3 linked regions of the Tamandua tetradactyla genome follow. The protein of the gene in region 3 interacts with the protein of the main gene of each other region in a pairwise test. Links are inferred from orthologs where the notes say so. Each region holds a gene or a part of one and is shown on either strand. Other genes may lie near its edges. The genes, in order: SEC23IP, EXOC7 and SSC5D.

Region 1 (3,745 bases), on a different chromosome or scaffold from region 3:
GACAATGTCCTGGTTCATAGGCTGAATGAGGTGTTCTTAGACAAGTATTCCAAACACATCTGGGCCCGATGCTGTACAGGCTGTTGTGTGTCTCAAAGCAGACATATCTCAGACTTTGGTCCCTCACCCTGTTCCTGCTTGAGGTCCTCAAACAGGCTGCACACCTTTTTCCAGATGAGCAAAACACTTACGGACATATTCCACTGGTTCTGATCTTCTACCCACAGGCTCAGCATCTGCTCCATCACCAGGCAGCACTGCAGGTCAATGTGGCGACCTGTGAAGCTTGCCCATATTTTCTCCTTGTCCCAGATTGTGGTCACAGTGGAGGTGGACAGACCTAGAGCCTTCGTGATTTGGCTGAGCTTCTCACCGGCTCCAAAGAACCACAGCACTTACGGGCACTTAGAGGACTCCTGAGAGGCATCTTCAGGCCTGAGTTGGGGGAGACGGAGGCTCTGTCTTTGCCACTCTTTCTGCCTGTAGGTCTTCAGCCTCCTGGCAGCAAGGGTTGGCAGTGCTGTGAGCACTGGGCCTCCTGGACACTGTCTACCACATCTCTGAGTCCCGAGACGGGCTTCCACCCACAATGCCAAATCAAGGGTGGAGAAAATTATGGAACAAATCTCAAAAGCATATTTGTGTTCCTGCCCCTTGCCCACATTACGGCACCTACTGCCCCGCCCTGACCCATTGTAAAATGGGGAAACAACGTTTACTGGTGGGAAATACCAGCAAGCTTTAGTAAAACCTGTTAAAGATTTAAAAAAAAAAAAAAAAAGTCACATCCCTAAATTTCAATTATCTGGCTTTTGTTTTTAGATAACTTTTCTCCCTATGGCTTGAAAGTATAATTTTTTAAAACCATTTTTATTTATGGACTAAGGGCAAAGTTCAGTTCAGCCTAGAAGGCACCTGGGCAGGTTAGATGTGAGAGCGAAAAGGGCGTGTTTGGCTTGGCTTTGGTTGCGAACTGCCCGCACAACATTTTCCTGCCTCTCTCACTATCCACCGTCAGAGGGCTGACAGCAATTTGCCACCGGCTCCCGCGGGCATCCGCTGTTCCTCCAAAATCTTTCCCAAACAGCCCCCTCTGTACTTTAAGGAAGCCCAAAGTCTCCCCCGCTATCATGACTTACCACTCGCGCACTGTTTTAGTATCAGCAATGCTCACCCTCCCACTTTCCTACCCCAACTAGGGCCCACGGATTCCAGTCATCCCTGGCTAGCCGCTTAAGTCGTCCTCACGTGCAAAGACTCGGGCGTGGAACCGGAGCCTTCAGAACAAGCAAGTGTCGCCATGTTGATTTCTGGCGGGGGGGAGGATGTCAGCTGACCTGCCGCTAGTTGTTCCGGCCCTTGTGCGCAAGTGCGGAAATGTGCTGGCCCCTAGGGTGACCGGTTTCCGGCCGATGATGTTTCACCGGCTACCCGGAGACGTGTAACGGACGGTGGGCCGCAGCCATGGCCGAGAGGAAACCTAACGGCGGCGGTGGCGTCGCCTCCACCTCCTCATCGGGCACTAACTTACTCTTCTCTTCCTCGGCTACGGAGTTCAGCTTCAATGTGCCCTTCATCCCTGTCACCCAACCTGCCGCTGCCCCGGCCTCCCTGCTCTTGCCAGGAGGTAGTAAGGGGAGGGGATTCCGAGTTTATGCGGGGAAGCGAGCACGGGGCGTGGGGGTGACGAGGGCCAGACAGGCGGTCTTCTTTCTGATTTCTTTCTGACTCTAGGTAGCTTGCCAGGAGCATCAGTGGCCAGATTTGAGTGGATTGTTGGCTTTGGAATCTTGGAGGCGGGGGCCAGGTCCTGAGGTTTTCTCTTGATCTAATGAACCTCTGTTCCGAGTTGGCCAAAGTGCCGGATACTCGTGCATTGGCATTCCACAAATCTTTGTTATCACTTAACAGTGTGTCAGGCGCGATGCTGCTAGGTGTTAGCAGGGAATGCAGATAAATCAGACAGTGCCACTCGCCTAGGAGTTCACAGCCTAGAAGGGATACAGACACGTAATGTCTACAAAGTAGTGCTAAAGAATGAATTACTTATCTTCAAAACAGTGCATAACTTCCTATAAGAAACTTGTTCTATTAGGCCCCCACTCATATGTGCTCCCCTAGTTTTTTGTTCATATCTTTATTATTGTCTAGGGAGATTGCTTTATTTTTATTTATTTATTTATTTGTTTTATGGGGAAATTGTTTTTTAATGATTAGGTGGCATAACCATAGTATAATGTTTAGGACTTTGTCTGGGTTCCAGTCCTCAGGGATAACTTACCCTACTCAGGCATACTACTTTACATGTACATCCTCATAGCGTTATAATGAGAGGTGAATTTTTGTAAATCACTGAGAATAGTGCCTGTCACATAGTGTTATATAAGTGTGAAATAAACGTCTCATTTGGAATGTGGGCTTTTTGAAGTTTGCAGCTATGACTTGATTACCTTTTAATTTCCAGTATCTTGTTTGGTACCTACCATGTTGATACTCAGTAAATGCTGAGTCTACCAGTGAATTTATACTTGCTTGGAGGACTAGTGAAAGTTTCATGGAGAAATGAACAGAGGCATACTGGGGACAGCTATACACGAAGATTTCCCTTACCTTGCATTACGTTTCTTTAGTGCTTATCACCACCTAAGTGTATTTATTTGTTTATCTTATTACACTGGAATGTAAGCTCCATGAGGTCAGGGATTGAATTGTGTTCACTGTTATATCTCCAGTGCTCAGAGAGGTGATTGGCATGCAGTGACCAGTTACTTAATAAATATTGTTGATTGAATGAAAAGAATATAGTCAAGAATATGTATGTCACACTTTTATTATGTGATTGAAAGGTCAGGCATTGCCATCTTTGGTGAAGGACCAGATGGCTGGGGGAGGATGCAGGAATACATTAGGCCAAGCCTGGGGTTTTCATATCATTCTGCTTCACACATGTTGCCTTAGTTCATGGCCATCTTTGCTTGAGCTCTCCCTCTTCCATGTGCTCTCTCACTTGTGCTTTCTGGTATTCCGTTTGTGCTTGTCACTATCAGTACTGAACATTTTCATTTTCAAGTACTTGAACAGCTAGTATTAAAACTCTTGTTTCTTGCAGACAGAGTTTATTTTTTGGGAGTAAATTAAAAGTTTTTAGAACCACAATTCCAAATGAAGTATTTTTCTACCTCTAAGAAAGATTTCATAGTTAGAAACCCATTTAGAGAATTGCCAGAGACAAGAGAAGAACCTGTATCGTTGGAAGCAAGTTAATTCTATCAGTGAAATAGACTTGTAGGAGGCAATTTCATTCATTCATCAAGATGGATTAAATAGCTTCTATTTACTGGACCCTATGCAACATGTCAGGGACACAAAGAAGAGCAGATAGTCCTGCCCTCAATGACTGCACAGTAAATAAGTATATGTATATACCCAGCTGTGCAAACAATTGTGATACAAGTTTATAATGGGTAGAAAAGCCAGCCTGCTTTAAGTTACTGGTCTCAGGCTAGCTGACCAGGGAAAGGATGTCTTTTAGGCCTTCAGGACCTCACAGAGGAAGTGATGCTTGAACTGAGTATTGTAGGATACATAGAAATTAGGGGTCTGGAGAGACAGGCATATATAAAAGTCATGAGGTATGAGAAAACCAGCAGAATTGGTGAGAGTTGGTGGTGGGTGTCATGGGATGCTCTCTGTCTCTGTCTCCAAGTAGATCAGTGTGACTAGAGTGTGTACAGGGGTGTGACTT
Region 2 (3,745 bases), on a different chromosome or scaffold from region 3:
ACTAAGTGAGCAGAAGAGCTGGGTCCTGCCGAAAATCCTTGGGAACCCAGAACACCCAGGAGACTCCCTCCAAGGGCATCTCTTGACCCTCGCCCCTGGAGCTGAGGTTAGACCAACTGGGACCACCTGGAGAACAGTCATGCCAGCCCCTAAGCCCATCTGATTTCCCCAAAGCCCCTTGAGACATGCTCACTGCCTATCCCAACACCTGCAGGCAAGGCTCAGTCTCTTTCTAGCTGGCCATGATGTGCTGAGGCCTGAATCCCTGACAGCTTCCGGTCCTGCCCCCCTTCCTCCTGTGGCCTCTCCTGGCCGAGGTAAGTTCTCAGCAGAAGCCACTCAGCCCCCCCAAAATAAAACCTCACAGCTCTCTCTCCCCACACGTGGGGCCTGGAGGACAGGCACCGGGGCCCCAAGAGAGATGCTCTGAGAATCCTGCCAGCCCCGTGTACTCGGCTGACCCCGGCACAAGGCCAGCTATGGTTGGGCACCCTCCTAGGACCAAGGGCAAGTGTCCTGTCCGGCCCCGGGCCTGGGTCCTGCACACAGGGCCTGCTCCATATGCTTTATCCTTAACGGAGGGCCGCACACACCAGCCCCGGTTTCGCTAAACGGGCACATATTGGGCGCCTGTCTTGTGGTGCACTCCGTATGCACTCAGTGCTGGAGCATGGACCCAGCGGCCATTTGTCAAATGGCACAGTGGCGGAGTTCTCGCCTGCCATGCTGGAGACCTGGGTTCGATTCCTGGTGCCTGCCCATGCAAAAAAAAAAAAAAAAAAAAAGTCAGTCTTCCAACCGGTAAACAAGCCGAGACCGCCCTGCAGCCACGGGCAGAATGACATCGGTCGAGTACCTTCTCCGCAGGGGGAGGGAACCCACACCAGGGGGAAAGGGCTGCGCTGGAGGAACGCCACCCTTCCCAGACACACCCAAGATGGCCGCTCGCCTTGGCCCGTTACTGAGCCTCGCGCAGGCGCATTGCCACCAGCCTCTCCCAACATGGCAGCACCGGCGCGGTGCCGGGGCGGGACTAAAGACGGAAGTGGGTGTGGCAGGGACGCGACCCCCGTGGGACTGTTGGGAAAGATACTGAGGAGCCGGGAGCCGCAGGGTTGGGAGCGATGATCCCCCCGCAGGAGGCGTCCGCTCGGCGGCGGGAGATCGAGGACAAACTGAAGCAGGTGGGCGATGGTGGGGAATCGGGGGAGGAGGTGGAGGGAAAGGGGCCGAGATCCGGGCCGGGCCCCTACGCCGGGAGGAGGCGCGGGTGGGAGGGGGTGTGAGGAGATGGGTTTCAGATGAGGGGCGAGGCTGGGGGTCCGAGGACGCAGTAATCTCCCTTAGCACGCAGGAATCTCCCTTAGCCTCCGGCCTCTGGTGATGTCCTTCCCTCCGCTCCCCGTAGGAGGAGGAGACGCTGTCCTTCATCAGAGACAGCCTGGAGAAGAGCGACCAGCTCACCAAGAACATGGTGAGAAAGTGTTCAGCCGGGAGGGGCGGAGGGGAGCCTTGCTACGGGAGGTGCCGGGTACCGAGGGCCTGGTTTGGAGTGGATAGTGATGGGTTTCTCTAGCAACGATATGGTGTCTCTTACCTCCCGCCCCTCCTCCAATTTCCGCCCCATCTCTGAGGACCCGGCAGCCCCCGCTGACTTGAACTTTCTGCTTTCTGTCTAGGCTCTCCATTCTTCCTTTTCTCTTGCCACATTTAGTGAGACTGAGTAGTCCTGGTCCTGGGTCATTCTTAACTCAAGACTGTCCCGGTAGGGGTGGCATTTTGAGATTACTTTGAGATTTGAAATTACTGAGAGCATAGAAGACTCAGCCTTCACCCCCAGAGGACTTTAGGGGTAGAAGGAGCGCTTACTCCACACAGTTGTGTGATTCCAGGCAGTTGACTCTGAGCTGTAGTTGACTTGTGTACTAAAACAGTGACAATGTCAACCTCTCAACGTGACTGCGAAGGTCATATGAATGGATGCATCTTGCACAGTGCCTGGTATACAATTGTGCTCAATAAATATTCGCTTCCTTGTTTACTCCTAGCTGAGATCGTTCGGGTAGAAGTTGAATAGAAACAAACGGATTTGCATTCGGTAACACAGTGATGAAGTCCTATTTCTTGCATAATGAGATTCCCCCTTTAGAGACAGGATTTTGAAGGTGCCAGCAAATGCTTTGAGGCTATTCTGTATGAAACAACTTCCTGTTCAGTCTAGGAAAACTTCAAAGAGACCAGAAGTTGAGATTTGGCTTCAAAGGGTAGAAGAGAAGTCATCCTGGAATGATTATCTTAGGAATTAACTTGATACTTAGCTTACCTTCAAACTGACCAATTTGCGGGGGACCACCTCTTAATTGCCAGGCCTATGCTAGATGTTGGGGAGGCAGGAGTGAACAGGTAGGCCCTGTCCCTCCTTCTTGGAGCTTATTGTCTAGAAAACAAGAGAAAAGGCAGGAATTGCCAAAGACCTGCTGATGAGAAGGAAGCAGAACTGGGACCACCCTAGAGCAGAGACTTTCTCCCAACAGGTGTCTATCCTGTCATCCTTTGAGAGCCGCCTTATGAAGCTGGAGAACTCCATCATCCCTGTGCACAAGCAGACAGAGAATCTGCAGCGGCTGCAGGAGAATGTGGAGAAGACCCTGTCCTGCCTAGATCATGTCATCAGCTACTACCATGTGGCCAGTGACACCGAGAAGATCATCAGGGAGGGGTGAGCCAGGGCCGGAGGGCCACATCCCTAATGCCTCCTGGACCACCAGCTCTGGGCCTCAGAAGGGAGGGGTAGGATGTATTTAGGTCTAGTGTTAATTCTCTTCTTCTTCTTCCAAACACCATGGCCTAATCCTTCCCCTCCACTGCTCCCCAGCATGATCAGGCTCCTTTTCTTCCCAGCCCCACAGGTAGGCTGGAGGAGTACCTGGGAAGCATGGCCAAGATCCAGAAGGCTGTGGAGTATTTCCAGGACAACAGCCCGGACAGCCCAGAGCTCAACAAAGTGGTAAGGGGCCAGCAGAGTAAAGGGAGAGGGCTGGGAAACATCCCTCCCTGGTCTCATAAGGAAATACCTGGCCAGCTTAAAAGAGTATACAGTATAATAAACAAAAACATCTAGTAGAATTCAGATTCTCCAGACACTAAGATCTCTGTCTCGGAAATTATAGGCTTACATTTTTATTCTGTTTTTGTAATTTGTTTAAAGTATATATGATATAAATTTTACATTTAGTTTTTATAAATGCATTTGCGGTTTTGTGTTTATATTTTGTGTGATGTCTTTGCGTCTAAGTATTGGGGTCATTAGGACACCAGAGCAGGGTGGGAGAAGGGTTAGAAGTGAGATTTACTCTGTGTTGAGAGAATGAGAGGCTGGAGACCAGAGGAAAGGTGGGAGAGGAGGCCCCGAGACCCAAGAAGGTGAGTGGGGCCAAGAGAGTAAGAGTATTAGGGGAGGGGCCATCTGGAACACAGTCTCCTGGTGTACCTTTCTGGTGACACTACAGGTCTCACTCTGAGGTGTGTGGCTTGCCCAAAAGAAGGCATGAGCTGAAGAACAGAGATGAGAAACTGTCTTTTCTCCTGACCAAAAACTTTTGCTGAGAGCAGTGCTTCCTGGCTTTTCCCCCATCATGGCATACATCAGAAATGAGAATATTTGTGTGGCACCTGGGGACAAACTGGAAACCAGACGGTGGTCCCCGGCCACCCAAGGGCCCACCTGGCTGCCTTGAAGGCTGAT
Region 3 (3,745 bases):
GGGCTCTGGGGCCGAGAGGTGGGTGCAGGGCTGCTGCGGGCCCCTGGGCAGAGGAGCTGGAGAGCTGAGAGGGCCAGGAGCCCCCGCCCGCCCCCGTTCCTCCAGACCCATCTGGTTTTTAAGGCATTTGTTAATAAAGCCTGAGATTGCTGTGCGTCTGTCCCTCTCTTTGATGCCTTTTCCAGTCTCTCTCTGATCCCCCCATCCCCCCTCCGTCTGGCTCCTCCCTTCCCCAAGTTGACATTAATTGGTGTGGGAGGGAGGGCCTGGGAGAAGGGGGTGATGAGCTCACAGCAGCCTCGGTCCGCCCTTCTGACTCACAAGCCCCATTACCGAATTTTTTCCGCCTCACAGCTGCTGGTGCAGAGAGCGGGTCTGAGTATATGAGTGAGAGCTAGAGAGTGGAGGGTGCTGCTCCCCCATCCAAGTCTTAACTCTCAGCCCTCCCGCCCCCTCCCATTTTTCTCATCCTCTGGGACCACTCAGACGGAGGGAGGGCTTTGCAGTCAGATTGACTGGGGGGGTAGAGTGGTTCTGTCTCCTTTCCTAATCCGGAAGTCCTTCCTGCTGTCTGGCTGTAAGCCCTCTCACTGTACCAGGAGCCCCACATGAACCCAGCCCCCAGCCCCAGTGGTTAATTTGAGTCAGAACTTGACCCCCCCGCTACCGTGGTCAGCCCACTCCTCCCTGGCTGGACAGGAGAGGGGGCAGGAGGAGGGTCTCTGTGCCGCCTCCACTTCCACCCCTGTCCTGTCCGTTCCCTGCAGTCCGCCGCCCCCGACATCCAGAGCCTGGCCCTGGCTTGGACACCCTCCCGTCCGCTGCTACCCCCCCCTCTTCCCTGCCTCAGCCCCCGCTGCTGCCTCCTTGCCTCCTCGGCAGCCTCTCTCTCCTCCTGGCAGCGCGTCCAGGCCCTGCCTGCCCCTCCCCAGTCCAGGCGCTTCCCTCCCTGTGACCGCTGCCGCCTCTCTCGCCCGTGCTCTCCCCCTTTCACCCCGTCCCCGCCCTGGACTCTGTCTGCAAGCATGAGGGTCTTGGCCTGCCTCGTCGGTGAGTGACCGTTCTCCCTGAGGACTCAGGGGCCCGGACCCCAGCCCTCCGACCCCTTGGCTCATCAACTTTAGAGGTTCAGGCTTCTGCGACCCCAGCCCTTGGTGCTTGGGGACATGAGGACAGCCCGTCCTCCCTGCCCACCACCCGAGCGCAGTCCCAGCCCCACCCTCTCAGGGTCCCAAGCGACATGCCCCTTTCCTCTTCCCCCACCCTGACCCTGTGCAGGGGTCACCCAGTGTCTGATCTTCAGCTGTCCCCATAGGGGAACACAAAGGACCTCAAGCCCCACCCATCTCAGGGCCTGCATGCAACCCCTGCCCGACCCCCAACCCCGTCCGCCTCTGCCCAGAGTCCTGCTTCCCGGCAGCGGGTTTCTGGTTAAGAAGCGTGGGAACTGGGTGTGCACGTGTGTGTGCACGCGTGCGTGCCAGGGCATGCAGGGCAAGGGACCTGTCCTGGAGACAGGGACCCCTGGAGGCACCCCTCACTCGGGCCCACCCACCCTCCCTTCCAGCCGCTCTGATGGGGATCCAGGCTGTCGGTGAGTTTCCGAGCCCCTCCCCCTGTGCCACCCCATGTCCCCAGAGCCCAAGGGCTGGTGCTCTGACCCCTGCGTCCTCCGCCTGGAGCCCAGGGGCCCTGCCTCTAGCCTGCTACGGGAGCCGGGGCCCCTCAGCACTGCCCTCCCAATCATCCCCTGAGTTTGCATCCACTTGTGACCAGTGCAGCCCCAGGGCCGGGGTGGGGGCCCTCCTGGGGTCCGAGCCTCTCCTCCGTCCCCCTGCAGAGCGGCTGCGCCTGGCCGACGGCCCCCACGGCTGTGCGGGGCGCCTGGAGGTGTGGCACGCGGGGCGCTGGGGCTCGGTGTGCGACGATGCCTGGGACCTGCGCGATGCTGCCGTGGCCTGCCGGGAGCTGGGCTGCGGGGGGGCGCTGGCCGCCCCCGGGGGCGCCTTCTTCGGGGAGGGCGAGGGTCCCGTGTGGCTGAGCGAGCTGGCCTGCCGGGGCAGCGAGGCGCGACTGGGCCTGTGCCCGCACCGCGGCTGGAAGGCACACATCTGCTCCCACGAGGAGGACGCGGGCGTCGTGTGCGCAGGTGAGGGGCTCGCAGGGGCCGGGAGGCCACCCCTCAGTGCCGGGCCCTCCTGGGGCTCAGGGACCCCCAGCTTACAGGGGCTCCTGAGCCCTCGAGGACCCAGACACGCGGGTCCAGCCCTATCCCTCTCCCCAGGACCCCAGTGACCTCCTACCCCCCACCCCGCGCCTTCAGGGCTTCTCTTGTGCCCCACAGGGCAGCGTGTGGCCGGCTCCAGGGACGACTCCACTTCCCTCTTGGCAGGGGACCCCTGGCCCGGGCCCTCTGGGGGTTTCAATCTGGTGTCTGAGGTGCCCCCTGAGACTCACGGTGAGGATGAGGCAGCCCGTGGCACCCCCAGCTCTCTCCCCCCTTTGAACTTGGGGTCCCTGGGTTCCCCATCCAAACTGCGGGGGGGGGGGGGTAGTCCTTGGGCAAGGCCACTGGGACCGTCTGCTGCCACCTGGAGCCTGGCCAGCACCGCCATTCCGGGGGACGGGAGAGCAGCCGCCCGGCACCCCCCTCATGGCTGTCTCTCTCCCAGCGCCCCGGCCGGCCGGGGATCCCCAGAGTGGCCTGCGGAAGAAGAGCCCCCGGCCCCCCAAGCAGGCCAAGTCCACCCGCGCCCCTTCGCTGGTGACCGGGGCCCCCCGTCACGGTGAGGCCCCCACCCCCACGCGATGCTGGGTGCACGCATCCTAGGCCCAGAGCCCAGACCAAGGGGAGCAGGGCCCCCTCTTCTCAGTCTGCTTCCCGGGATGCCCCTGCCCGCACCCCGGGGGTTCAGGGAGTCAGGCGCCGTCTCCCACTCACTCACCCCCACCCTCTGCCTGTCCCGGGACCCGGGTGTCCTGCCCCACCCAGTCGCTGCTCCCTCCCCCTAACAGGAGCCCCCATTCAGCTCAGGCCTCAGTTTCCCCAGGTGAAGGGCTTGAACCTGCGTGTCCCATGCTGTGCGCAGATGAGGCACCTCGTCCCCTCCCTGTCCCCCCTAGAGCGGCTGCGCCTGGTCTCGGGTCCCCACGGCTGCGCCGGGCGGCTGGAGGTGTGGCACGCGGGGCGCTGGGGGACGGTGTGTGACGATGGCTGGGACCTGCGCGATGCCACCGTGGCCTGCCGGGAGCTGGGCTGCGGGGGGGCGCTGGCCGCCCCGGGCGGTGCCCGGTTTGGCTACGGCTCAGGGCCCGTGTGGATGGATGACGTGGGGTGCGGCGGAGGAGAGCAGGCCCTACGTGACTGTCCCCGGAGTCCCTGGGGTCGGAGCAACTGTGACCACAGCGAGGACGCAGGGCTGGTCTGCACGGGTACGTGGGGCGGGGGCCACGGGCATACCTGAGGCTGTCCTCCCGCCTTCCCAAGGGCTTGGGTCCCAGCTCAGAATCATCACACCCCTCCTAGGGAGCGCTCCAGCCCCCCCGACTTCCCTGCAGTTACCGACAGCCTCCTGGAGGGAGCAAGGGTTTTGGAATTGGGCTCAGCTCTTGGCCCCGTCCCATGGCCTTGGCCAGTGACCCCGAGCCATGGTGTTCCCCACAGTGCCACGGGAGAAGGTTTCGTGCAGACCAATGAGCATGTTCCTTCTCCCGGCCATCGTGCCATCCCAGCAAGGCCATGAGC

The links.
Region 1: the proteins of SSC5D (region 3) and SEC23IP interact in binary tests that used the Homo sapiens proteins (3 or more experiments, as listed by UniProt). The two-hybrid records come from large-scale screens. The link is inferred for Tamandua tetradactyla from reciprocal best matches to the Homo sapiens genes SSC5D and SEC23IP.
Region 2: the proteins of SSC5D (region 3) and EXOC7 interact in binary tests that used the Homo sapiens proteins (3 or more experiments, as listed by UniProt). The two-hybrid records come from large-scale screens. The link is inferred for Tamandua tetradactyla from reciprocal best matches to the Homo sapiens genes SSC5D and EXOC7.

What each region holds. Positions count from the first base shown.
Region 1 is NC_135339.1:82,424,023-82,427,767, forward strand, and holds the start of SEC23IP (SEC23-interacting protein), read left to right. Parts: upstream 1-1,374; 5' UTR 1,375-1,464; coding exon 1,465-1,627; intron 1,628-3,745. UniProt on the Homo sapiens protein: Plays a role in the organization of endoplasmic reticulum exit sites. Specifically binds to phosphatidylinositol 3-phosphate (PI(3)P), phosphatidylinositol 4-phosphate (PI(4)P) and phosphatidylinositol 5-phosphate (PI(5)P).
Region 2 is NC_135332.1:16,546,911-16,550,655, reverse strand, and holds the start of EXOC7 (exocyst complex component 7), read left to right. Parts: upstream 1-972; 5' UTR 973-1,124; coding exon 1,125-1,184; intron 1,185-1,408; coding exon 1,409-1,474; intron 1,475-2,534; coding exon 2,535-2,719; intron 2,720-2,901; coding exon 2,902-3,007; intron 3,008-3,745. UniProt on the Homo sapiens protein: Component of the exocyst complex involved in the docking of exocytic vesicles with fusion sites on the plasma membrane.
Region 3 is NC_135342.1:4,244,016-4,247,760, reverse strand, and holds the start of SSC5D (soluble scavenger receptor cysteine-rich domain-containing protein SSC5D), read left to right. Parts: upstream 1-948; 5' UTR 949-1,025; coding exon 1,026-1,050; intron 1,051-1,567; coding exon 1,568-1,594; intron 1,595-1,840; coding exon 1,841-2,149; intron 2,150-2,344; coding exon 2,345-2,458; intron 2,459-2,672; coding exon 2,673-2,786; intron 2,787-3,123; coding exon 3,124-3,432; intron 3,433-3,745.